4 linked regions of the Saccharomyces cerevisiae S288C genome follow. The gene in region 4 interacts genetically with the main gene of each other region. Each region holds a gene or a part of one and is shown on either strand. Other genes may lie near its edges. The genes, in order: CDC60, LHP1, RIT1 and LOS1.

Region 1 (7,077 bases), on a different chromosome or scaffold from region 4:
TTTTGGAATTTGAAGATCGAATCCCATAGGGATGTAATAGCTTCTTTAGGAAGGGCTTTCTTGGACACAAGCAGCTTATCCATCGCAATACAGGACGTTAACGTTCCATGCTCTGCTATAAAAGAGATAATTGTTGGATCACTGCTTATTGAATTGTGTATTTTTGAACTTGGAAGCACCGTTAAAGTTTTGTTTAATAAATTTGTTAATAACGATCTCAGGTTGTTATAATATTTAGTTTGCTCGTGACATCTTCTCATAATCTGAAATAGGGTGAAGAGGTCCTTGATATCTAGCCACATGGTATTTTCCAGATTTAACAGCTTCCTCAGTAAATCTAGGAATCCTTGATATTGTAGTGGGTCTTGTAGCAAGCTACCAACTTGAATCAATTCACTAAGAGATATGAGCTTCAGTAGCGCGACAGCGTCACTTTTGGATGCAACTGAGTTACATAATATCATCAAAGCTGCGGCTAGGGCATAACTACTTGCGGAACTCTTAATAGTTTCGATACATAATGATTGCTCTCGTTTGTTAGAGTTTGTTAGGTTGGCGGAGATGTTGCCTGCGCACGATATGAGTCTTCTCATTACAATTAGCTTATTATTGAAGGTTTTTGATTCTAAGCAAACTAAGGACAATATTAAATTTTTTTGCATGCTTAGCACAAGCTGCTCCTCATTGGTAAAGTTTATAGTTTCATCCTTGGCTACAATAGTTTCAAGACATGTTGACAGATTTAATAGCAATTCACAATTAACGTCCTCCTCATCATCTTCTTCCTCTTTTTCGATGTACTCTTGATTTCCTTGGCCAGCGAACTTCTGAGTTTCAGTATTTGAATATGCTTCGACTGCTCCATCTTCCATTGCCTGCAATTCTTTATTTTGCACATTTGAAGAGATTTTTTTGATGTACTGGCTTAAGAAAAAGAGATCGCTTATTTGAACATTTGAGTAATTGACTTTTAAAATATCGTTCAATAAATCTGAACCTAAAACAACTTTTTCGGGAGATGACAAATAGCTATATTGTGTGGTTTTCAACAAAACAAATAATGGACCTCTAATGAAGGGAGCCAAATTTTCTGTATACTTGAGATTTCCAATGCAAAAATTCCTTAGTAGCACAACTGACCGCATCTGTAATTTATCCACTAAGCTATCCTCACTCTTGTCAGAAGAAATTTCGTCCAGCTGAAGAACCCCGCCTATATAATAATTAAGAAGCTTTTTACCTCCAGAATCCAAGAGAATTTCCCGATTATCATCATTATCAATTATTGCGTTAGCGATACATCTAATCACTTCAGAACTGATCTCATAAAACGCTATTTTATCATTAATTGAAATGCTCGTATCATGAAAGCAGATATCAAGCGCTTGTTCTAATACTCTTACTAGGTTCAGTAGCAGCCCAGTTTTACCAACAATATCTCTATTACTTGGTTCTCTCAACGAAACAGCCAATTGGTCCATTACCGCTAGGTAGCTTCCTAAGTAGACATCGTTCATCGGAACATCCTTTATTGAAGACGCATTGAGGATCGGTTGCAGACCAAATAAAATTTCTTCGTAATCCATTTAGTAGGACAGTTATTTTCACTTGAAACCACAATCTTTTGGGGCTGAAATATAGATGAGGTGATTTGTTATTCGCGGTTAGTTTTAGTTCGCGAGTGACCTGCTTACGTTGTCTTCAGCCATTTTACGTTGCTTGGCTTGCCGCCGGCGGGTAATATGATCTTATTTTGACATGGTTAAAGAAAAATACTTTTGACTAAGTACCTTTATCACAAGAAAGTTTAGGAAGGGATTCACTATTTGAAGATCAGACAAATGAGTATACGATATTGGCTCAATATTTTAGCCGAGTTTGCTTAAACTTAGTGGCAGAACTTTAGTCATGGGAAGACAAGAACGATCTTACGAGGCCCTTAGGACCTCGGCGGCTAACAGTAAAACTGGTAACTGACGGACAAGGAATATCAAGGTCATATTTTGAAAAGGTCTTTTTGGGTGACTACTTGGGTAAGAAATAATTAGACGAAGTTTCTTTCTGATGTGTATTGAACTAGTGCTCGTGCTTACATACACATCGCCCATTATTGCCTATAGTTATCCTCACTTTATACGAGGTCTGGCCGTTAACGGTTCTTTTACATTGAAAAACTAAATCAGTCACCCACGCAAATAATGAAAAAAAAAAAAAAATCAAAAGCGAAAAGAAACCTAACGCATATTCTATTCAAACGTTGAATGATTGTATTATTATAAATCATAATCACGTAAAGCCACCGAAATTTTTTTCCAGAGTGAAGAATATAAAAAAAATATCTTTAACCAGTCTATAATGTCTTCTGGTTTGGTCTTAGAAAACACGGCACGTAGAGATGCGTTAATCGCCATCGAAAAGAAGTACCAAAAAATATGGGCTGAAGAGCACCAATTTGAAATCGATGCGCCATCAATCGAAGATGAGCCCATTACAATGGACTCTGAAGAGTTACATCGCACGTATCCTAAATTCATGTCGTCTATGGCCTATCCTTATATGAACGGTGTTATGCACGCCGGCCATTGTTTTACTCTCTCCAAAGTCGAATTTTCTATTGGTTTTGAAAGGATGAACGGTAAAAGAGCTTTGTTTCCATTGGGTTTTCACTGTACAGGTATGCCAATCTTAGCATGTGCCGATAAACTAAAGAGGGAAGCCGAACTTTTTGGCAAGAACTTCGACAATGTACCAGCAGAAGAAGAAGAAATTAAAGAAGAAACGCCGGCTGAGAAAGACCACGAGGATGTTACCAAATTCAAAGCTAAAAAATCTAAAGCCGCAGCCAAGAAGGGCCGTGGTAAGTACCAATTCGAAATCATGTTACAGCTTGGTATCCCTAGAGAAGAAATCATTAAGTTCGCCGACGCCAAGTACTGGTTGACCTATTTCCCACCTTTGTGTGAAAGTGATTGTACTTCACTTGGGGCTCGTATCGATTGGAGACGTTCTTTTGTCACCACTGATGCCAATCCTTATTACGATGCCTTTATTAGATGGCAAATGAACAAGTTAAAGGCTGCTGGTAAAATCAAATTCGGTGAACGTTATACTATTTACTCTGAAAAAGATGGTCAAGCTTGTATGGATCACGATAGACAATCCGGTGAAGGTGTTACACCACAAGAATATATTGGTGTGAAAATTGAAGCTTTAGAGTTCGCCGATGATGCCGCAAAAATCATTGATTCAAGCTCAGATCTTGACAAATCCAAAAAATTCTACTTTGTCGCTGCCACGTTGAGACCGGAAACTATGTATGGACAAACATGTTGTTTTGTTTCTCCAACAATTGAGTATGGTATATTTGACGCTGGTGATTCTTATTTTATCACTACTGAACGTGCATTCAAGAACATGTCTTACCAAAAGCTAACACCAAAGAGAGGCTTCTACAAGCCGATAGTTACTGTCCCAGGTAAGGCATTTATCGGTACCAAGATTCATGCCCCACAATCTGTATATCCAGAACTAAGAATATTGCCTATGGAAACTGTCATTGCTACCAAGGGTACTGGTGTCGTCACGTGTGTACCATCTAATTCACCAGATGACTACATTACCACCAAGGACTTGTTGCACAAACCTGAATACTACGGCATTAAACCTGAATGGATTGACCATGAAATTGTTCCAATTATGCATACCGAAAAGTATGGTGATTTAACTGCAAAGGCTATTGTTGAAGAAAAAAAAATTCAATCTCCAAAGGATAAGAACTTGTTAGCAGAAGCCAAGAAAATTGCTTACAAGGAAGATTACTACACTGGTACCATGATATATGGTCCTTATAAAGGTGAGAAGGTCGAACAAGCCAAAAACAAGGTTAAGGCTGATATGATTGCCGCCGGTGAAGCTTTCGTCTACAACGAACCAGAATCTCAGGTCATGTCACGTTCTGGTGATGACTGTATCGTTTCTTTGGAAGATCAATGGTACGTTGATTACGGTGAAGAAAGTTGGAAGAAACAAGCAATTGAATGTTTGGAAGGGATGCAATTATTTGCTCCTGAGGTAAAAAACGCATTTGAAGGTGTTTTGGATTGGTTGAAAAACTGGGCTGTTTGCCGTACATACGGGTTAGGTACCAGATTGCCTTGGGATGAAAAATACTTAGTTGAGTCTTTATCAGACTCTACTATTTATCAATCATTTTATACCATTGCTCACTTACTATTTAAGGATTATTATGGTAACGAAATTGGACCATTAGGCATTTCAGCTGATCAAATGACAGATGAGGTTTTCGATTACATTTTCCAACATCAGGATGATGTCAAGAACACCAATATTCCTTTGCCTGCTTTACAAAAGTTGAGAAGGGAATTTGAGTATTTCTACCCATTAGACGTCTCAATTTCCGGGAAGGATTTGATCCCTAACCATTTAACTTTCTTCATTTACACACATGTTGCATTATTCCCAAAGAAATTCTGGCCTAAAGGTATCAGAGCTAACGGTCATTTGATGTTAAACAATTCTAAAATGTCGAAATCTACAGGTAATTTTATGACTTTAGAACAAACGGTTGAAAAGTTCGGTGCTGATGCAGCTCGTATTGCGTTTGCCGATGCGGGAGATACTGTTGAAGATGCAAATTTTGACGAATCTAACGCTAATGCTGCTATTCTGAGATTATTCAATTTGAAGGAGTGGGCAGAAGAAATTACCAAGGAATCTAACTTGAGAACTGGGGAAATTACAGATTTCTTTGATATCGCGTTTGAACACGAAATGAATGCTCTGATTGAAAAGACTTATGAACAGTATGCATTGACTAATTATAAGAATGCCTTGAAATACGGTCTTTTTGATTTCCAAGCTGCTAGGGATTACTATCGTGAAGCTAGTGGTGTAATGCATAAAGATTTAATTGCACGTTATATTGAAACACAAGCCTTATTGCTGGCTCCAATTGCGCCTCATTTCGCTGAGTATATTTACCGTGAAGTTCTAGGTAACCAAACCTCTGTACAAAATGCCAAATTTCCACGTGCATCCAAACCAGTAGATAAGGGTGTTCTGGCTGCTTTGGATTACTTGAGAAATCTACAGAGAAGCATAAGAGAAGGCGAAGGGCAAGCACTAAAAAAGAAGAAGGGCAAGTCTGCTGAAATCGATGCATCCAAACCTGTTAAGTTGACTTTATTGATCTCTGAATCATTTCCAGAATGGCAATCACAATGCGTGGAAATCGTCCGTAAACTATTCAGCGAACAGACTTTAGACGATAACAAAAAGGTCAGAGAGCATATTGAGCCTAAAGAAATGAAGAGAGCTATGCCATTCATTTCTCTATTGAAACAACGTTTAGCTAATGAAAAGCCAGAGGATGTGTTTGAAAGAGAGTTACAATTCAGCGAAATCGATACTGTCAAGGCTGCTGCAAGGAATGTTAAGAAGGCAGCACAAGCTTTGAAAATTGCTGAATTTAGCGCAATTTCTTTCCCATATGGCGCCAAAACCGGTAAGGATATCTTTACTGGTGAAGAAGTTGAAATTCCACCTGTAACAAAGATTGTTGAAAATGCTGTTCCAGGTAACCCAGGTGTTGTCTTCCAAAATATTTAAAGGAGAATATTTCAAGATGCCTCATGGTGATTTTCCGATAAAAGATACAAGAAATTCTCATAGAAATACTTATAAAGATCAATAAACAGCAACCAGAAATCACGTCGCATTGATAATTTGCCTCGTATATATCGTATAATTATTGTAATTGCACAACTGTTTTTGTTTTGTATTCGTTCATTTTCTTGTAAAATGTTTCCACATTTTCTTGTGGAGGATATGTATATTGATTCTTTACTTATTCGTGTTATTTTAGCTGCAAATATCTGGGTTTGAGGGCTATTTGACTAGTCTAGAGAAAAGTAGTCGTGAGAAAACTATATTAGATAGATGGATGAGAGGAGCAGGTCAATAAGTAAAAGAATAATAAATAAATATATAAAAATATACATGTAAAAAAGGTGTTCTAAATGAATGATAAAGTTTATGAATGTAATATACTCTAAGGATGTAAGAAAAAAACCGTTGCGTATGTATAATAAACAGGTCTATGATGTTAAAAGATGAAAAGGCCTAATAAAGTGAACAGAACCGGAAGAAACTAAAAATAAATAAAACCCAAGTAACCACGTACAAAAAGCACATTGATGCTAAGAAGATCTCCCTGCTAGGAAAACAGAAATCAGAATGAAACGTTTCAATAATCATCCCTCAAGTTTTTTCTTCATTTGGAGCAACGTCACTACTGACTTTTTTCTCCCCTTTCCTCTTCTCTTTGAAAATTCATCCATTTTCCGCTGAAGCGTCTCACTTGTTTTATTGTCAACTAATGTATTTCTCTTAGCACTTACATGAATAAGCTCATTTGTGTTCATTGATTTTTCCTTAGGTGGATGAAAAGGCTTCAAATTTTTCAGTAGTTCACTAGGTATATTCTCCCACTCTGAAAAGAATTCAAGTCCAGTGGCAGAGGAAATCCATGGTGATAGAGGTTCATTTAAATCTTCAAGCTTCATCGCAAATTCGTATAACGTACTTCCGGTGTCTTCCTTTAGCTTCGGGTCATTGGGATTGATGAATAAGGGTCTATATCCAGAATAGAGTACATTTGTGGTCATGTCACTCTGCTTTAAATGTGAGGTGGATGGTACTCTTGGTAGCCACGAAAAATCGCTTCTTTTCTTTTTTAAATGAGAACCTCTCACATCGCTATGTTCTTTCTTTGTGATTGTCTTGTTTTGCTTTATAAGTGGTGCAGTATGTTCGTGTTCCGGGGGTTGACGATGGTACGCTGCCTTTTTACTGCCCTTTTTTCTTTTGGATTTCATTTGATTTTTAGATAGTAAAGACTGGTTACTTAAGAACGTAAAGGAAGACTGAAATCTTCTAGAAGTGAGAACTATTCCTGAAGAAATGGCATTGTTCCTTGATAAAGGCGGAATAAATGGACGAGCTAGCTTCAACATAGTTTATCGTCCGACTTTGCGTTCTGACCTGCTGAATATACGA
Region 2 (4,316 bases), on a different chromosome or scaffold from region 4:
TTAGTTACGTAAATTTATAAAAACGTATCGATGAAAGTTGCACAGAAGTAAAAAGTAAAGTATACAAGTATTACGTCGACTTCTTAGGTAGGTAACAATAATAAAAAATCAATTACGTAAAACGTATGCTGATAGTATTATTCTTAACATTATTTTGTTCGGTAGTGTTCCGAACAGCTTATTGTGATGTGGCCATTGTGGCTCCAGAACCCAACTCAGTTTATGATTTATCTGGTACAAGTCAGGCTGTTGTCAAAGTAAAGTGGATGCATACAGATAACACACCACAGGAAAAGGATTTTGTCAGATACACGTTTACTCTGTGTTCGGGTACCAATGCCATGATAGAAGCAATGGCTACTCTTCAAACACTCAGTGCGAGTGATCTGACAGACAACGAGTTCAATGCGATAATAGAAAACACCGTTGGGACGGACGGTGTTTACTTCATACAAGTCTTTGCGCAAACAGCTATCGGTTACACCATTCATTACACTAACAGATTTAAACTAAAAGGGATGATTGGTACAAAAGCCGCTAATCCGAGTATGATAACCATTGCACCAGAGGCACAAACAAGAATTACCACAGGAGATGTGGGTGCCACGATTGATTCTAAGAGTTTCACCGTTCCCTACAACTTACAAACAGGTGTTGTGAAATATGCTCCCATGCAACTCCAACCGGCTACTAAGGTAACAGCAAAGACATGGAAAAGGAAGTACGCGACCAGTGAGGTAACGTATTACTACACTTTAAGAAACTCCGTTGATCAACATACTACCGTAACACCAGGGTGGTCATACATAATTACAGCTGATAGTAACTATGCTACGCCGGCCCCTATGCCGGCTGATAATGGCGGTTGGTATAATCCACGCAAGAGACTCTCTCTGACTGCAAGAAAAGTTAATGCTTTGAGGCACAGATAATGAAATAATACAAAAAAAAAATTTATGAAAATGGACAAATCGATTTATTATATTCGTTAACATTTTTTCTGCTTAATTATTGTTATTCTATTTTTTTTTTTTTTTAAATGGATGAGCTGTATTCCATTTTAACCAGTAACGGTAATTTTTAATACTAATAAAAAAAGGAGACAAATAATATAGTATTAGTTGTAATTCATATTGTGTTTCTGTTTAGTACATATGTTAGTACATATATTCTTAATATGCTATGATAATGAGATACGAGAACCAGAAGAAACACAAGAATCACTCCTTGTGCTCCTCATCGTCATCGGCAATGGCAGAAGAGTCCTCTTTTGACTCTTCCTTGCCGTTTTTCTTCTTATTTTTGGGGAATTTAGGCAAGTTTTTCTTCTTATGGCCGTTAAAGGATCTTGATCTACCGCTGAAGTTTTTGGACTTCGAGGCCTCTCTCTGTAAATCAAACTGTTTTTTCGTCAAAACACTCAGTTTCTTACCTTCATATGACAAAATTTCGTTGGACTCATCGTCATTGGAATACGATTTCAAAAAAGCTTCACATTCTGGAATTGTCTTAAATTCCACCAAGACCGTACCATTAAATTTCTTGTTTCTGTGATCTCTTCTCAAACGCACTTGGTTGATTTCACCTAATTTTTTGAAAAAGGCTTCCAAGTTCTCCTGCAATTCAGGAATTTGGGAAGCTTCAACGTCCTCATGTGGGAAATTCATTACAGCCAAAGTCCGTTGGTTTTGCTCAATTCTGGCATTTCTGGCAGCAGTTAGGTCCAAAGGAACACGTCTCTTGACGTTCTCTCCATCAGCAGATACTTCCAAAATTTCAGAACTACGTAGTGCTTCGATAACCTTATCCACTGGTCTATATTTCTTCATACGGTTGAATGTGGCGATGGTGCTGATGGGGACCCATCCATCGTTTTTTTCCGCTGTTGTGCGCAAGAACCTGTCATATGGAAAGTTGAATTCAGAAAAGTAGAATTCCACTTGCTTTAAACATCTGTCCAAGACTTCTGGAGTAAATTCAATCACAGCAAATGAATTACGTCTTGATTGTGGTTTCTCTTGCTCCTCTTGTTGTGGTTTTTCAGACATTACTTCTTTGCAGATGCTACTTTAGTTCCAGTAGAACCAAATAGAACCCATTTTTTGGAAAAAGAAAAAAATACATCATAGCGATGAGATGCGACTCTGTGCTTTTGATTTGGTTGTAATTCAAAAATCTTGAGATATTGCGATGAGGTTGGGCTGAACACATTACACTAAGACGAAGACGAAAATTTTTTCACGGTCACGAGATGGATCTCGTGAATGATGATATCAATTATGCTTCCTTTGTTTTGTTGAGAATATGGTATGGTGTTCAAAATACTTATATTAGGAAGGGTTTAAGGTGAAGGGGGAATTCTTCAATAGAGAAGTTTAGTGGTTTCCCTCCGTCAGTGAATTCGAGCAAAAAAATAATGAGTGTGATAGGTAGGTTCTTGTATTACTTGAGGTCCGTGTTGGTCGTACTGGCGCTTGCAGGCTGTGGCTTTTACGGTGTAATCGCCTCTATCCTTTGCACGTTAATCGGTAAGCAACATTTGGCTCAGTGGATTACTGCGCGTTGTTTTTACCATGTCATGAAATTGATGCTTGGCCTTGACGTCAAGGTCGTTGGCGAGGAGAATTTGGCCAAGAAGCCATATATTATGATTGCCAATCACCAATCCACCTTGGATATCTTCATGTTAGGTAGGATTTTCCCCCCTGGTTGCACAGTTACTGCCAAGAAGTCTTTGAAATACGTCCCCTTTCTGGGTTGGTTCATGGCTTTGAGTGGTACATATTTCTTAGACAGATCTAAAAGGCAAGAAGCCATTGACACCTTGAATAAAGGTTTAGAAAATGTTAAGAAAAACAAGCGTGCTCTATGGGTTTTTCCTGAGGGTACCAGGTCTTACACGAGTGAGCTGACAATGTTGCCTTTCAAGAAGGGTGCTTTCCATTTGGCACAACAGGGTAAGATCCCCATTGTTCCAGTGGTTGTTTCCAATACCAGTACTTTAGTAAGTCCTAAATATGGGGTCTTCAACAGAGGCTGTATGATTGTTAGAATTTTAAAACCTATTTCAACCGAGAACTTAACAAAGGACAAAATTGGTGAATTTGCTGAAAAAGTTAGAGATCAAATGGTTGACACTTTGAAGGAGATTGGCTACTCTCCCGCCATCAACGATACAACCCTCCCACCACAAGCTATTGAGTATGCCGCTCTTCAACATGACAAGAAAGTGAACAAGAAAATCAAGAATGAGCCTGTGCCTTCTGTCAGCATTAGCAACGATGTCAATACCCATAACGAAGGTTCATCTGTAAAAAAGATGCATTAAGCCACCACCACATTTTTAGAGTAGTATATAGACCCAAAAACTGTAATTATCTTTTTAAAAAAGTAAAATGACTTACGAATGATTCTGATGATTTTATTTATTACGACTCATATACCCAGCGTAAGAAGTGATCAATAGACCGCTACTTTATTCGGAGAAAGAGAAAAGAACTTTCCATTGTAATGTATATATAACACCAGGCATGTGTCAAAAATGTGAGACTAAATAGAAAGAAAAATACGAGGAACAACAAATAATACGATCTTGTGCATATTTTTTCCCTTTTTTTTTTTAATTCTTTTTTTCTGAAATTTTTCATTTGTTCACTGTTTAATATCTATCCATTTTTGTTTCCGAATTTTCATTAACTTTATTACTTATTTACGATACAATTTTCCCTTTAATCTAGTACGAAATGACAACAACCTCAACAACCAGTGTAGATGGCAGAACCTCCTCGACTTTGAAGGCTACTTTATCTGCTTCAGGTCCAAATTCAAATGGTCCAACGCCCGCTGTGCTTCCTCAGAAGCCAAAATTAACAGGTTGGGCGCAGGCAGCTGCCAAAGCCCTTCCAAGGCAACAGCAACAGCAACAGCAGGCACGAAAAGATGATTCCGTGGCTGTACAACCTGCTAATACGAAGACTAAAACCATCGCATCTACCGCGCCGCCTGCTAATATAAAGGGTAGTTCCACCGCCAATGGATCATCCACAAATAAGAAATTTAAAAGAGCGAATAAACAACCTTACAATAGAGAAGAAGTTAGATCGTATATGCACAAATTATTTCAGAGCTATACCGCTGGTGAAAAAAGTCATTCAATGAAAACTTATAAGCAAGTACTATCAGAAACGGCAAGTGGCAGAGTTTCAACAGCCACTGACTGGGGTACTGTATCAAGCAGTAAAAATAAGAATAAAAAATACGGCTGTTTGTCCGATATTGCTAAAGTTTTAAGAAACCAATGAGAATATCGAAGCATC
Region 3 (5,082 bases), on a different chromosome or scaffold from region 4:
GACTATCTGATAGATTGATATCGAGGTCACCATAAGGATAAACCTTGACAGTTTTACCAGTAACGTCTTCTCCTGTTATAGGATTTAAAAATTTTCTTTTTGAATATGCTTCTTGTCTGATATCTTCATGCTCATAAACAAGTTTATACCTGACTCCAGCTTTTTCATGGGTATACATAGTGTAACCCTTGACTCCGACTATAAAATTTGTTTTCTCATCCAAGATTAATGGACATTGAAACATTATCCTCTTTACCTCCTTTTTCCTTAGGATTCTGGACTTGATGTATTTAGCATCTATAGGCTTTGTACTTGGACCATCAAATTCAGAATCCAAACCAGTATTCTCATTTGTATGTGAACCCAACTGCAGTATGTCCGAATAAAACTCGTTGTCAAATGGTTTATCGGCATAGCCAATAAAAAAAGTTGCAAAATTCACTTTGTTATCAAATAAATCAATTGTAAGCCTTCTCAATCTTGCCCGTTCATCGATATCTTGCGCCTCTTGTGGTTTATCAATGTCAGTGAATAAGAACACTCTCTTGTTGCTTAATTGCTTTTGACCCGGAATCTCTTCCAAAAAAGTGTCAAGCATGAATGTGAATAATACAGATAAGCGCACTTGCTTTTCACTCCCAGTTTGTTGAAACATAAAATAGTCGTATAGGCTTATTCTCCCCGATGATAAATCTTCTAAAAGATCGTTCAATTTCTTCATAAATGTAGCATTTATATCCCTTAATGGAAAAAGTTCATAGATACCTTCCTTGGCATCCTCTCTGTTACAGTAATAAAAATAGCAACCAATAGCTGTCCCAGGTCTTGTTATGACCAATTGTGACATTAGCTCATCTAGTGATTCCAGAATTTCCAACAATGGTGATTTATACTCTAGATCAGAGGACTCTTTAAACATTGTCTCTGATAGTTCAATGCAAAACAAAATTCCTTCATGGATATCAAACTTCCTATAACCTGTTTCATCCACTTGATCGTTAAGTTCTCCACTATTGCCAAATGCATTAGTGACTGAGCGCATAATATTCCCGTTTTAAAATCAGGCTTAGAGTCACTTAACAAATCATAGCTTTACTGTTGAAAACTAGAACAGTAATACAGAGAATGTCATTTGGTAGCTACCTTAAAGCAATCCCTAATACATGAAATTGAGAATCTTCAAAAATTAAGGTAATCAAAAGTAAAAAAATATCTCCCGGGGGCGAGTCGAACGCCCGATCTCAAGATTTCGTAGTGGTAAATTACAGTCTTGCGCCTTAAACCAACTTGGCTACCGAGAGTCAATTAACTGATAACCATTCAATTATGAGTCCGTCTAATATCATGCTTATTCACAATTTTAATATAAGCAACCTTGCAGAAGTGACCTGTTGTCAAAACGGAATATCAACTTGATTGAGGGGATGATAATTATCCTATATATTCTATAAATATGGATTATACTGAATATTGGGTGAATAATTTGATAATTGTTGGGATTGCATTGTTGATCAAGGCTATATAATATTATGTACACAGAATATATTAGAAGTTCTCCTCGAGGATAGAAATCTCAAAATGGAATCTATATTTCTACATAATAAAATTACGATTATTCCTCATTCCGTTTATATGTTTCATTATCCTATTACATTATCAATCCTTGCACTTCAGCTTCCATTATACTTGATAACTATTTCTCAATCCTTATTTTATGTTTTTCCACCGCATATTATAATATGCCAGTAATATTTATTCTTATTAATGGTCGTTAATTTCACACCAGGCGTGTTTATAACTGAGTAATCACTTTAAATTTGAGCATCCGGTTTTGCACCGTTAATAGTATCATTGTTAATTAGTAGGCAGGTTGTAGTATATTCTAAGAATAAAACAGGTGCCCTTAATCTGTACAAGAGAAGAGTATGAAATATGAATTACATTGGGCATATCGACTATACGCAATATATCAGTAGCTTCGACGATTTAGGTAGGTATAAGGGTTTCCTATACCTGTATACACAAATTTCAAACTTATGGCCGAGCCAGATAGTCCTTTAGCTATGCCTTCCATTACTTCTTGGAAAGCTTGTTGCATTTCCCGTCATATTATGTACGGTTACAACTTTTTTGTTGATTTCCATGCCCGAAGGGAGCTTAGCATAGCCGCTATTACATAATCTTATCATCTTCATCAAAAATGAACTTCTAAAATCATCCCACCACTCTATTGCTCTTCATATATGCGTTGTATGTTTATGTGCTTTGTTCTTATTACTGCTTAACTGTGACTGGGCCCATTATTCATTGTTCATATGCAGGAAAAAAAAAGCATGCTTGAAAATTTTGATCTCTTGATGGATGGTATCGAGGCTATCAAAGAGATATAGATCCAGAGTACAGTTTAGTATATCCGTGATGGATGAAAATATTTATCTTTCGCTATCTCAGATAAATAAAGACATCAGAAAGGAAAACAAGTCCGTAAGGAATCGACTTCAGAGTATTCTTTTAGACAATAAATTTTTGCAAGATCGAGTTATCCCTATATTTCCCCATTATCCACTGATACCCAATGAAAGATGTGGGCTATGGTACTGTAATCCATCAAGTTTCAAACAGACCAGTTACTTTAAGAGCACAGACGGGCATGTCAACCAATGGGACTTTAGCACCCGAAGATTGAACTTTCATTTGTTAGAGACCATTCGAGATAATAAAGGTATTATAATTGTCGATAGTACTAGAAGAGGTAAAAAAATCCCAGATGCTTTGAGTAAGACTGTCCCCATATGGTGTGCTGTATTAAATACGTTAATGCTTCAGGAAACAGAAAAAAATGTTGCCATCGATAAGGTACTGTATCTTCCACCTGAGACAGTTCCCAAATCAGAATATGACATGATTAAGCGAAAAATACCCGAACTAGTTGCTAAACTACAAAAATTGAATATTATAGATTCTAAGAAATTGAACGAACTGTTTATGGGTAAGTTATTGCGGCCCATATGGGTTCACCCTGGTTCTTCACTTCTAGACCATTCTGTTGATTACTTCACGGGTGAAGTACAGGAGTATGAAGCCTGGGAAACACCTGAAGACCAAAACATAATACCCATTATTTTGTGCACGGTAAGCTATCAAGCACAAGATGGTATGGATAAAAGATACGGCTTCACTTATGTGCAGGGTGCAGCCGACGATCACGAGCTCTGGTCTTTTGGTTTGGATTCAAATATGTTTTGGGCCCATATAGAATACCTAGGCGACGCAAGTTATTCAGACGACCAGTTACATGATTACATCATGGATTTGGCTGCTGCAAAGCTGAGAAATCAGTGTTATATACAAGATAAAGGAAGCTTGGATGAAGTCTTTGGAAACATTGATAAAATTACGAATGAGATATCTCTAGGAAAAGTGAGTTCAGGCTTAACCATCAATAAGAATTTGAAACAGAAATTGAAGTCAGAATATGGTAAAGTTATAATTTTCAGTAATTCGGTGACTGTTGCTGAAGATACAGACGATGAAGAAGAAAGTGGGACAGATCCGTTTATTTCAATATACAAGTTGCAAAGCGGAGACAAGAAAAGTTCAAAAGCTTTACGATCCACATTCCCTAGAATCCATGGAGAAATTCAATCGTTGTTTACAAATCGAGATGAAAAAATAAAGCCAATGCTAATATGCTGCAATACAGGTACTGATATGTCAATCGGTGTCATCTTAAGTATCCTTTGTACCAAATATACTGAAGAATGGATGCTTACGTCGGAGTTACCGGACATCAGTAAGCTTATTGTAAGAAAACACTTGACAAAATTGATTTCCCACTTGAAAGGACGCAACGTTAACCCTTCAAGAGCAACACTGAACAGCGTCAATAGCTTTTTAATGTAGTGAGTTAGGCAATACTGAGATGTTTACTCGCAATGTCACTGTATATTTTAATATCAAATAACGTCAGTTTTTATTAGAAAAAGAGCGGGTTACCGTTTATCCTGAACAGAAAAGGTTCATTGAAAAAGAGCCCTTCAGACATTGGCTAATGAAAAGAATATGTAAAATCAAGAACAAATTAACGAAGCTCTCCTTCGTTAACAGTCCACTACCTAAATTTATGATTAATGTGGATAAATAGACTGGTTAAACATCCATCCTACAGTGTTCTGAGGTTTTACACGAAGAGGCTCTGCACTGTATCAGTGAAATCGCTGCGTGAATTTGGTGTACTGCCGAATAGCACAATATGTCATTCTGTCTATCCCCGAAGAACGTATGTAATGGGTAGGGCTGTCATAAATGATATTTTAATCAAAAAATCCTATTCAACTCACACGGTATGTGCAATTGATCGATCAAAAGATGAAAATAATGGGAGCGCTTATGACAAATTCGAGGCAAAAGGTATACCTATAGATGTTCACACATTAAAACGAATTATCAGCTCGAGTGGAATGGATGAATCCGAATTTTCCAAGAGTATAAGTTACTTATTCGCGAAAACCGTGGACCCTGAACCGAAGGATGTTCTGTCTTTAGAGGACCTGTCTTTTCTTTTGAGCAAACTATACACACAACGGTTTCAAATTAGGAGAATCTGTAGAGACATAAACGCTAAATATTCAGAATTTTGGTTCAAACTTTTTTCCTTATATGCAGAAAAAGTTGATGCCAAGAGAAACCAAGTTAACTTACGGAATACGAAACTAGATGCATGTGAAATATTTGATGCAAATCTTATGATCAAGAACTTTATAGAGCTCGGTCAATTAGGTAAGGCTCAAAAAATTTTAAGCTTTATTCTTGATAGAAATCCTGATATATTACTGTCTCCGAAAAATGCAGATATTAGCACAATAGTTCACTTTTTACAACTGCGTTGTGGCGCTTTGGCGCCTTATTGGAAAATACCAGATAATAGTGAGCAAAAACAAGGTTTTTTAAGAAAAATGGTTCGACTAGGTGCGAAAAATACGTCAATTCGTCTTTCTTCTACTTACAAAGCCATGGATCACCAAACATTATTAAAGATTGCTGATCTTGCTCTGCAGGAGAAAAAGCTTTTGAATTCCGAGG
Region 4 (6,853 bases):
ACAATTATTGATTGGAAACGGTGGGAACCTGTCTTCCGATGCATTTGCTGCGAAGAAGGAATTTCTAGTTAAGGATCTCACTGAGGAAAGGCACCTAGCCAAGGCCAAGCAGCAGGATGGTTCGCAAGCTGGAGAGGTTCCTAATCCCTTCAACGATCCAAGTATGTCTAATGCTATGATGAACATGGCTAAGGGTAATATGGCCAGTTTCATCCCTCAAACTATTATTATGTGGTGGGTGAACCATTTTTTTGCTGGATTTATTCTTATGCAACTACCTTTCCCTTTGACTGCCAAATTCAAAGAGATGTTACAGACCGGTATTATCTGTCAGGACCTGGATGTGAGATGGGTTAGCTCCATTTCATGGTATTTTATTTCTGTGCTCGGGCTAAATCCAGTCTACAACCTGATTGGGTTAAACGATCAGGACATGGGTATTCAGGCCGGGATAGGTGGCCCTCAGGGCCCCCAAGGCCCTCCACAATCACAGGTTGACAAAGCAATGCATGCGATGGCTAACGATTTGACTATCATTCAGCATGAGACTTGTCTTGATAACGTTGAGCAAAGGGTTTTGAAACAGTATATGTAAGTTCGTGGCTATATATGCACTTGTATAGAAAACAGATATACTTCTCGGTTTCAATTGTATAAATCTACAAATTTATCTCTTGCATCCGCCATTCCGTATGCACCTTGCCATGATATAGGCCTGACAAACTTTACAATTGGTGGCGCGTTTTTGATAACTTTTTGAGAGATTATCCATTGTAAGAACTGTTGAGAATCTAATGAGTTGTCCCCCTCATTGGCCAAACAACTACAGTACTTAATGCTGCGGAGGGCTTTAGGCCTCTGCGACGCATTCAGTATTTGGAAAAGTATTTTGAAGATCGGCTGATCAACGGATATCTTGTCTTGGAAACTGGTAGGAGTAAAATGTAACCAGTTATTGACCATCGACTCTTGATCGTTTAGATGGAGGTTCGATAAAAGCTCAGCTTCATCGTCGAAATAAAACTCTCCGAGCGAATATACCTCCTGTGGACGTACAATCACACCATTTTCATCCTCCATTGCATATAGAGAGTCCCAAATGCATATTTCCGATATATTATACTTGCTCAAGAACGGCAAGATGATCTCTACGATGAAATTATTCAGATAGTTAACGGACACGAGTGGTGTTCGTTGCTGTATGGCAAAAAGTCCTCGCTTCTTATTGTAGAAAACTTCCAAAGCGCTGCTATACTTCATATCAGCGTCTTTATATAGCGAGTCGCTACCATCCTCTGGTCTGTCTAATGGTCCCACAAATTCCACTAGGTATTTCGAATCTAACGCCTCCAAATATTCCCATTCATTTGCTTGTGAATTCAGCAGCCAGTCAATACTCAATTGTGGTATATTCCCTACGCTTACTAATGGCAACACCAGGCAGCTCATCGTATGTTCCTTTGGGTTTTGTGCTATTCTTTCCTGAAGTTTTAATTTAATTTCCTTATTTTAGTGTAGGTGGCTTTTTTTTTAGCAGGTTACTCATTGTGGGATCATTTTCAGGCTCAAAGCGAAAAATTGAAAAATTAGCTAACAAAAAAAAACTAAAATTTTTTCAAATTCCATCAGTTAGTTTGAGAAGTTGTCGGTAAGCAACCTATAGAACAAGTGTTTCCAGTCAAATCGAGGAATGCTAGAACGGATTCAGCAGCTGGTAAATGCAGTGAACGATCCACGCTCAGATGTGGCCACTAAGAGACAAGCCATCGAGCTGCTAAATGGGATTAAATCATCAGAGAATGCATTGGAAATCTTTATATCATTGGTCATCAACGAGAATTCAAATGATTTGTTGAAGTTTTACGGACTGTCCACATTGATAGAATTGATGACGGAGGGCGTGAACGCTAATCCAAATGGTTTGAATCTGGTAAAGTTTGAAATAACCAAATGGCTCAAATTTCAAGTTTTGGGCAATAAGCAAACTAAGCTGCCTGACTTTTTAATGAATAAGATTTCTGAAGTGCTGACTACTTTGTTTATGTTAATGTACAGTGATTGTAATGGAAACCAGTGGAACAGTTTTTTTGACGATCTGATGAGTCTATTCCAAGTGGATTCGGCTATTTCCAATACGAGCCCGTCTACCGATGGTAACATTCTTCTAGGTCTTGAATTTTTTAACAAGCTCTGTTTGATGATTAATTCGGAGATTGCTGACCAAAGCTTTATTAGGTCTAAGGAATCTCAGTTAAAAAATAACAATATAAAAGATTGGATGCGTGATAACGATATCATGAAATTGAGTAATGTGTGGTTTCAGTGTTTAAAACTGGACGAACAAATTGTGTCACAATGTCCCGGATTGATCAATTCTACCTTGGATTGTATTGGGAGTTTTATCTCATGGATCGATATTAATTTAATTATTGATGCAAATAATTATTATCTGCAATTAATCTATAAATTTTTAAATCTTAAAGAAACCAAAATTTCATGTTATAATTGCATACTGGCCATCATCTCTAAAAAAATGAAACCAATGGACAAACTGGCTTTTCTGAATATGATCAATTTGACCAACGAATTGACTTACTATCATCAAGCCATATCAATGAATCCCCAAATTATTACATTTGATAATTTAGAAGTCTGGGAAAGTTTGACCAAGTTGATTACTTCCTTTGGCATAGAATTTACTATCATTATTGAACAAGTCAACGATGATCAAAAATTGGATACATTATACAAACAATCGGTCATTTCAAATGTTGATTCCATATTATTGGAGAAAATAATACCAATACTTTTGGAATTTATGAATAATGAGTTTGATTCAATAACAGCAAAAACCTTCCCATTCTGGTCAAATTATCTGGCTTTCTTGAAAAAATATAAAGCATCTTCACCAAATTTTGTACCATTGCATAAGGATTTTCTAGATAATTTCCAACAAATTTGCTTTAAAAGAATGAAGTTTTCAGACGACGAGGTCACACAGGATGATTTTGAGGAATTCAACGAAACCGTAAGATTTAAATTAAAAAATTTCCAGGAGATCATCGTGGTAATTGACCCAAGTCTGTTTTTAAATAACATTTCTCAAGAAATTTCAGCAAACCTAATGAATTGTAAAAACGAAAGCTGGCAAATTTTCGAGCTAACTATTTATCAAATCTTCAATTTAAGTGAATGTACCAAGAACAACTATTTCGGTTTGAACAAGAATGAAATTATGACCTCACAACCTTCGCTAACTTTAGTACGATTTTTAAATGAATTGTTAATGATGAAGGATTTCTTATTAGCCATTGATAACGAACAAATCCAAATACTATTCATGGAATTAATTGTGAAAAACTACAATTTCATATTTTCAACTAGTGCTAACACAGCAAATGCTACTGATGATGATGAAAAGTATCTATTAATATTGAATATTTTCATGAGCTCATTTGCTATGTTCAATAAAAGAGAAAACGTCAGACTAAGGTCATGGTATTTATTTACAAGATTCTTGAAGTTGACAAGAATCAATTTGAAAAAAATCCTCTTTGCCAACAAAAATTTGGTTAATGAAATAACTAATAAGATAAGTCCTCTACTTCACATAAAAGTAACATCTATCAACGCCCAAGGGACGGATGACAATGATACAATTTTTGATAATCAGTTGTACATATTTGAGGGTATTGGGTTTATAATCACATTGAATAATAGCAGTCAGGAGCTCACTGCTGCCACTGCCAACACCCCCATCGATTACGATATATTGGACCAGATATTAACTCCGCTATTTACACAATTAGAGGGTTGTATTACCCAAGGAGCTTCGCCAGTTGTGATTCTGGAATGTCATCACATTCTTATGGCTATTGGTACTTTAGCGAGAGGTTTGCACATTGGTCTCGTCCCTGAGAATCAGGTCAACAATATGGTTGTCAACAAAAAATTAATCAATGACTCTTTAATCCATAAATTCTCTAATATAGCTGAGGTTATATTAGTAACATTCTCTTTTTTCAATAAGTTCGAAAATATCCGCGATGCATCTAGGTTTACCTTTGCCAGGTTAATTCCAATTTTAAGTAATAAAATTTTACCATTTATCAATAAATTGATTGAATTGATCTTATCGTCCACAGATTTAAAATCATGGGAGATGATTGATTTTCTTGGGTTCTTATCTCAACTGATTCATATGTTTCACACGGACACAGACTGTTATCAGCTGTTTAACCAGTTACTTACTCCGCTTATCAACAAAGTCCATTCTATTATCGAAGAGATTGATGAACAACACGACCAACAATCAAGCAGTAACAAACCTATAGACACTGCAGTCACAGCCACCTCCGTAAATAAGAATATCGTGGTCACCGATTCGTATAGAGATAAAATACTATTGAAAAAGGCTTACTGCACATTTTTACAGTCATTTACTAATAATTCCGTCACTTCGATACTATTGTCAGATATAAACAGAGCAATCCTGCCGGTCATATTAAACGATTTGGTCACCTATACGCCGCAAGAGATCCAGGAAACATCAATGATGAAAGTGTCACTCAATGTATTGTGCAATTTTATCAAATGTTTTGGGAATGGGACCTGCTTGGATAATGACGACATCAATAAAGATCCCAACCTTAAAATAGATGGTCTCAACGAATACTTCATCATGAAATGTGTCCCAATAATCTTTGAAATTCCGTTCAATCCAATATACAAGTTCAATATCAAAGAAGGGAATTTCAAAACAATGGCATATGATTTGGCAAGATTACTGAGGGAGCTATTTATCGTCAGCAGCAACCCCACCACAAATGAGAATGAATGTGTAAAATATTTAACTCAGATCTACCTTCCACAAATCCAATTACCACAGGAATTGACGATTCAGTTGGTTAATATGTTAACCACAATGGGTCAAAAGCAATTCGAAAAATGGTTTGTAGATAATTTCATTTCTGTTTTAAAGCAAGGTCAATAGCTTTCAGGCGCAGAAAACCTGAAAATAAAAAAAAAATGCAAAACGAGAGTAAAAGTTGTAATTATATTTATACTAATATTTAAATTGGTAATATGTAATTAGACTTATCATTCACTTTGGTTTAGCAGCTAGTCATGTAATGGCACTAAAAGTGCTTCTTTATCTATTATTTATACGTGACATACCATTACTTCTATGTATTACGTAAAGAATGACAAACGTTTAGTTTTTTTAATTTCAAAGAAATCGTTGGAAGGTTCAAAAAGGATCAGGTGAGATATTAGAGTATATGAATGTTTCAGTCTCTAAGCTACACAAAGAACTAGCATAGTAGGACTTTAACCCATACAATGGAACTCAACGACCCTTCAATTATATCAAGCAGCCAGTTTTCAGGTGAATTGTCTGACAGCGATACTGCAGCCGCTACTCACAAATCGCAACAAGCCATCTCAAATTTATTCCAAAAATTAGCCAAAAAGGGCAGAGAAGAGAAGCCAATCGGTAGCGTAGAATCTTCAACTGATAGCTCTAACATTTCTGTTGCTACGAGCGGTAACAATAAAGAAAGCAATAAAAAAAAAAATAAGAAAACGGCCATGCTAAATTTCAGCAGTTTGACGGACCCTATAACGAACTACAAACCAATGGATCTGCAATACAAGACATATGCATACTCCATGAATGAACTTTATCATTTGAAACCATCTTTGGCAAGTGCTTCGTACGAAGAAGACCCACTTATTTCGGAACTTGTGAGGAGTTTACCCAAAAGAAAGTTTTGGCGATTGCGCATGGGACCTCCAGATCAAAAGCATGCTAATAACCATCATTTTAATGGGAACAATGGTGGAGGCAGTTGGAAGGCTGGTTACAAGAATGGGAAAAACGATGAGAGAAGAATGAGTAGAACCAAAAACATGCAGGGAGGCAAACGAAGATCTCAACAAGATGATGAAGAAAAAAAGATTGACCAAGAAATGCTGGAGATGGACAAGAATCTTCAATTAGGAGGTGACGTCGGCCATTCAATTGCAGATTTTGAAGATTGGAAGGCAAAGATGAAAGAATTAGAATTGAAAAAACTTTCAAAATCTAAAGGAATCAGTAACTCTACCGCAATTGCTCCCAGGGAAAGCGCCTCTCATGAAACACCCACCGATTTAAGACCGGTCATTCCAAGGGGCCCTAGTTCAATAACAGATTTTTTGAATTTAAAGAGGCAAGATAAGAAGGAAGAATCTTCACAACAAACACCTGGTATTCCTGTTGGACAGCCAAGCCTATCCAAAACCAGTATAGAACAAGTTAACGAATTAGAAACTAATTCAGATTTGGGTAAAAGTTCATCATCTCGGTTTTCATCATTTTTCAATAAATCTGCCACTTCGTTGCCTTCATTAGATAATAATAATCAAGTGCCATCGTCAAACGTGTCTGTAGTAAACAACGATGGCAACAGTACACCTCATCAAAGTGGTTCAAGACTGATGTCGTTTTTCAAAGAATCTAGATCGAGCACTCCAAATGCAGAATCGCAGTTGTTATCAGCCTCAGACAAAGATAATGGAAAGATGCAGACTCTTCCGCAATTCCAGCAGCAACCGCAACAAATGCAACCAATGGCATTTACCCAGCATCCTCCTAATAACAACGCATTTTTCAATGGGCTATTGAATAAAGGTAAAAGTGAAACTAGTACTCCTCCTCCTCCACCCCCAGGACTAATTGCTCATCAGGGTCCACAATTTCCTGTGATGGGTGTACCACCAAATTTTCCACAACGCATGATGCCACCGCCACCAGGTCTCGTTCAATTCCAGAAAGATTCTAAAGATGTAAATAAGAAGGAAGACAGGC

The links.
Region 1: mutations in LOS1 (region 4) and CDC60 together harm fitness more than expected from each alone (negative genetic interaction), as found in Saccharomyces cerevisiae (3 studies listed by BioGRID).
Region 2: mutations in LOS1 (region 4) and LHP1 together harm fitness more than expected from each alone (negative genetic interaction), as found in Saccharomyces cerevisiae (4 studies listed by BioGRID, with this or other methods).
Region 3: mutations in LOS1 (region 4) and RIT1 together harm fitness more than expected from each alone (negative genetic interaction), as found in Saccharomyces cerevisiae (5 studies listed by BioGRID, with this or other methods).

Annotation. Positions count from the first base shown.
Region 1 is NC_001148.4:244,635-251,711, forward strand, and holds CDC60 (leucine--tRNA ligase CDC60), read left to right. Parts: upstream 1-2,355; coding exon 2,356-5,628; downstream 5,629-7,077. Other genes in the region: BEM4 (Bem4p), read right to left, coding at 1-1,586; PET20 (Pet20p), read right to left, coding at 6,273-7,034.
Region 2 is NC_001136.10:361,684-365,999, reverse strand, and holds LHP1 (tRNA maturation protein LHP1), read right to left. Parts: upstream 2,049-4,316; coding exon 1,221-2,048; downstream 1-1,220. Other genes in the region: KNH1 (Knh1p), read left to right, coding at 126-932; 1-acylglycerol-3-phosphate O-acyltransferase SLC1, read left to right, coding at 2,417-3,328; PBP4 (Pbp4p), read left to right, coding at 3,744-4,301.
Region 3 is NC_001145.3:834,147-839,228, reverse strand, and holds RIT1 (tRNA A64-2'-O-ribosylphosphate transferase), read left to right. Parts: upstream 1-2,361; coding exon 2,362-3,903; downstream 3,904-5,082. Other genes in the region: ATP-dependent DNA helicase YKU70, read right to left, coding at 1-1,042; AEP2 (Aep2p), read left to right, coding at 4,131-5,082. UniProt on the Saccharomyces cerevisiae protein: tRNA backbone modifying enzyme that mediates initiator/ elongator tRNA discrimination. This enzyme modifies exclusively the initiator tRNA in position 64 using 5'-phosphoribosyl-1'-pyrophosphate as the modification donor.
Region 4 is NC_001143.9:48,361-55,213, forward strand, and holds LOS1 (Ran GTPase-binding protein LOS1), read left to right. Parts: upstream 1-1,690; coding exon 1,691-4,993; downstream 4,994-6,853. Other genes in the region: ER membrane complex subunit EMC3, read left to right, coding at 1-595; ADD66 (Add66p), read right to left, coding at 646-1,449; EAP1 (Eap1p), read left to right, coding at 5,344-6,853. UniProt on the Saccharomyces cerevisiae protein: tRNA nucleus export receptor which facilitates tRNA translocation across the nuclear pore complex. Preferentially interacts with tRNAs with mature 5'- and 3'-termini and does not distinguish between intron-containing and spliced tRNAs.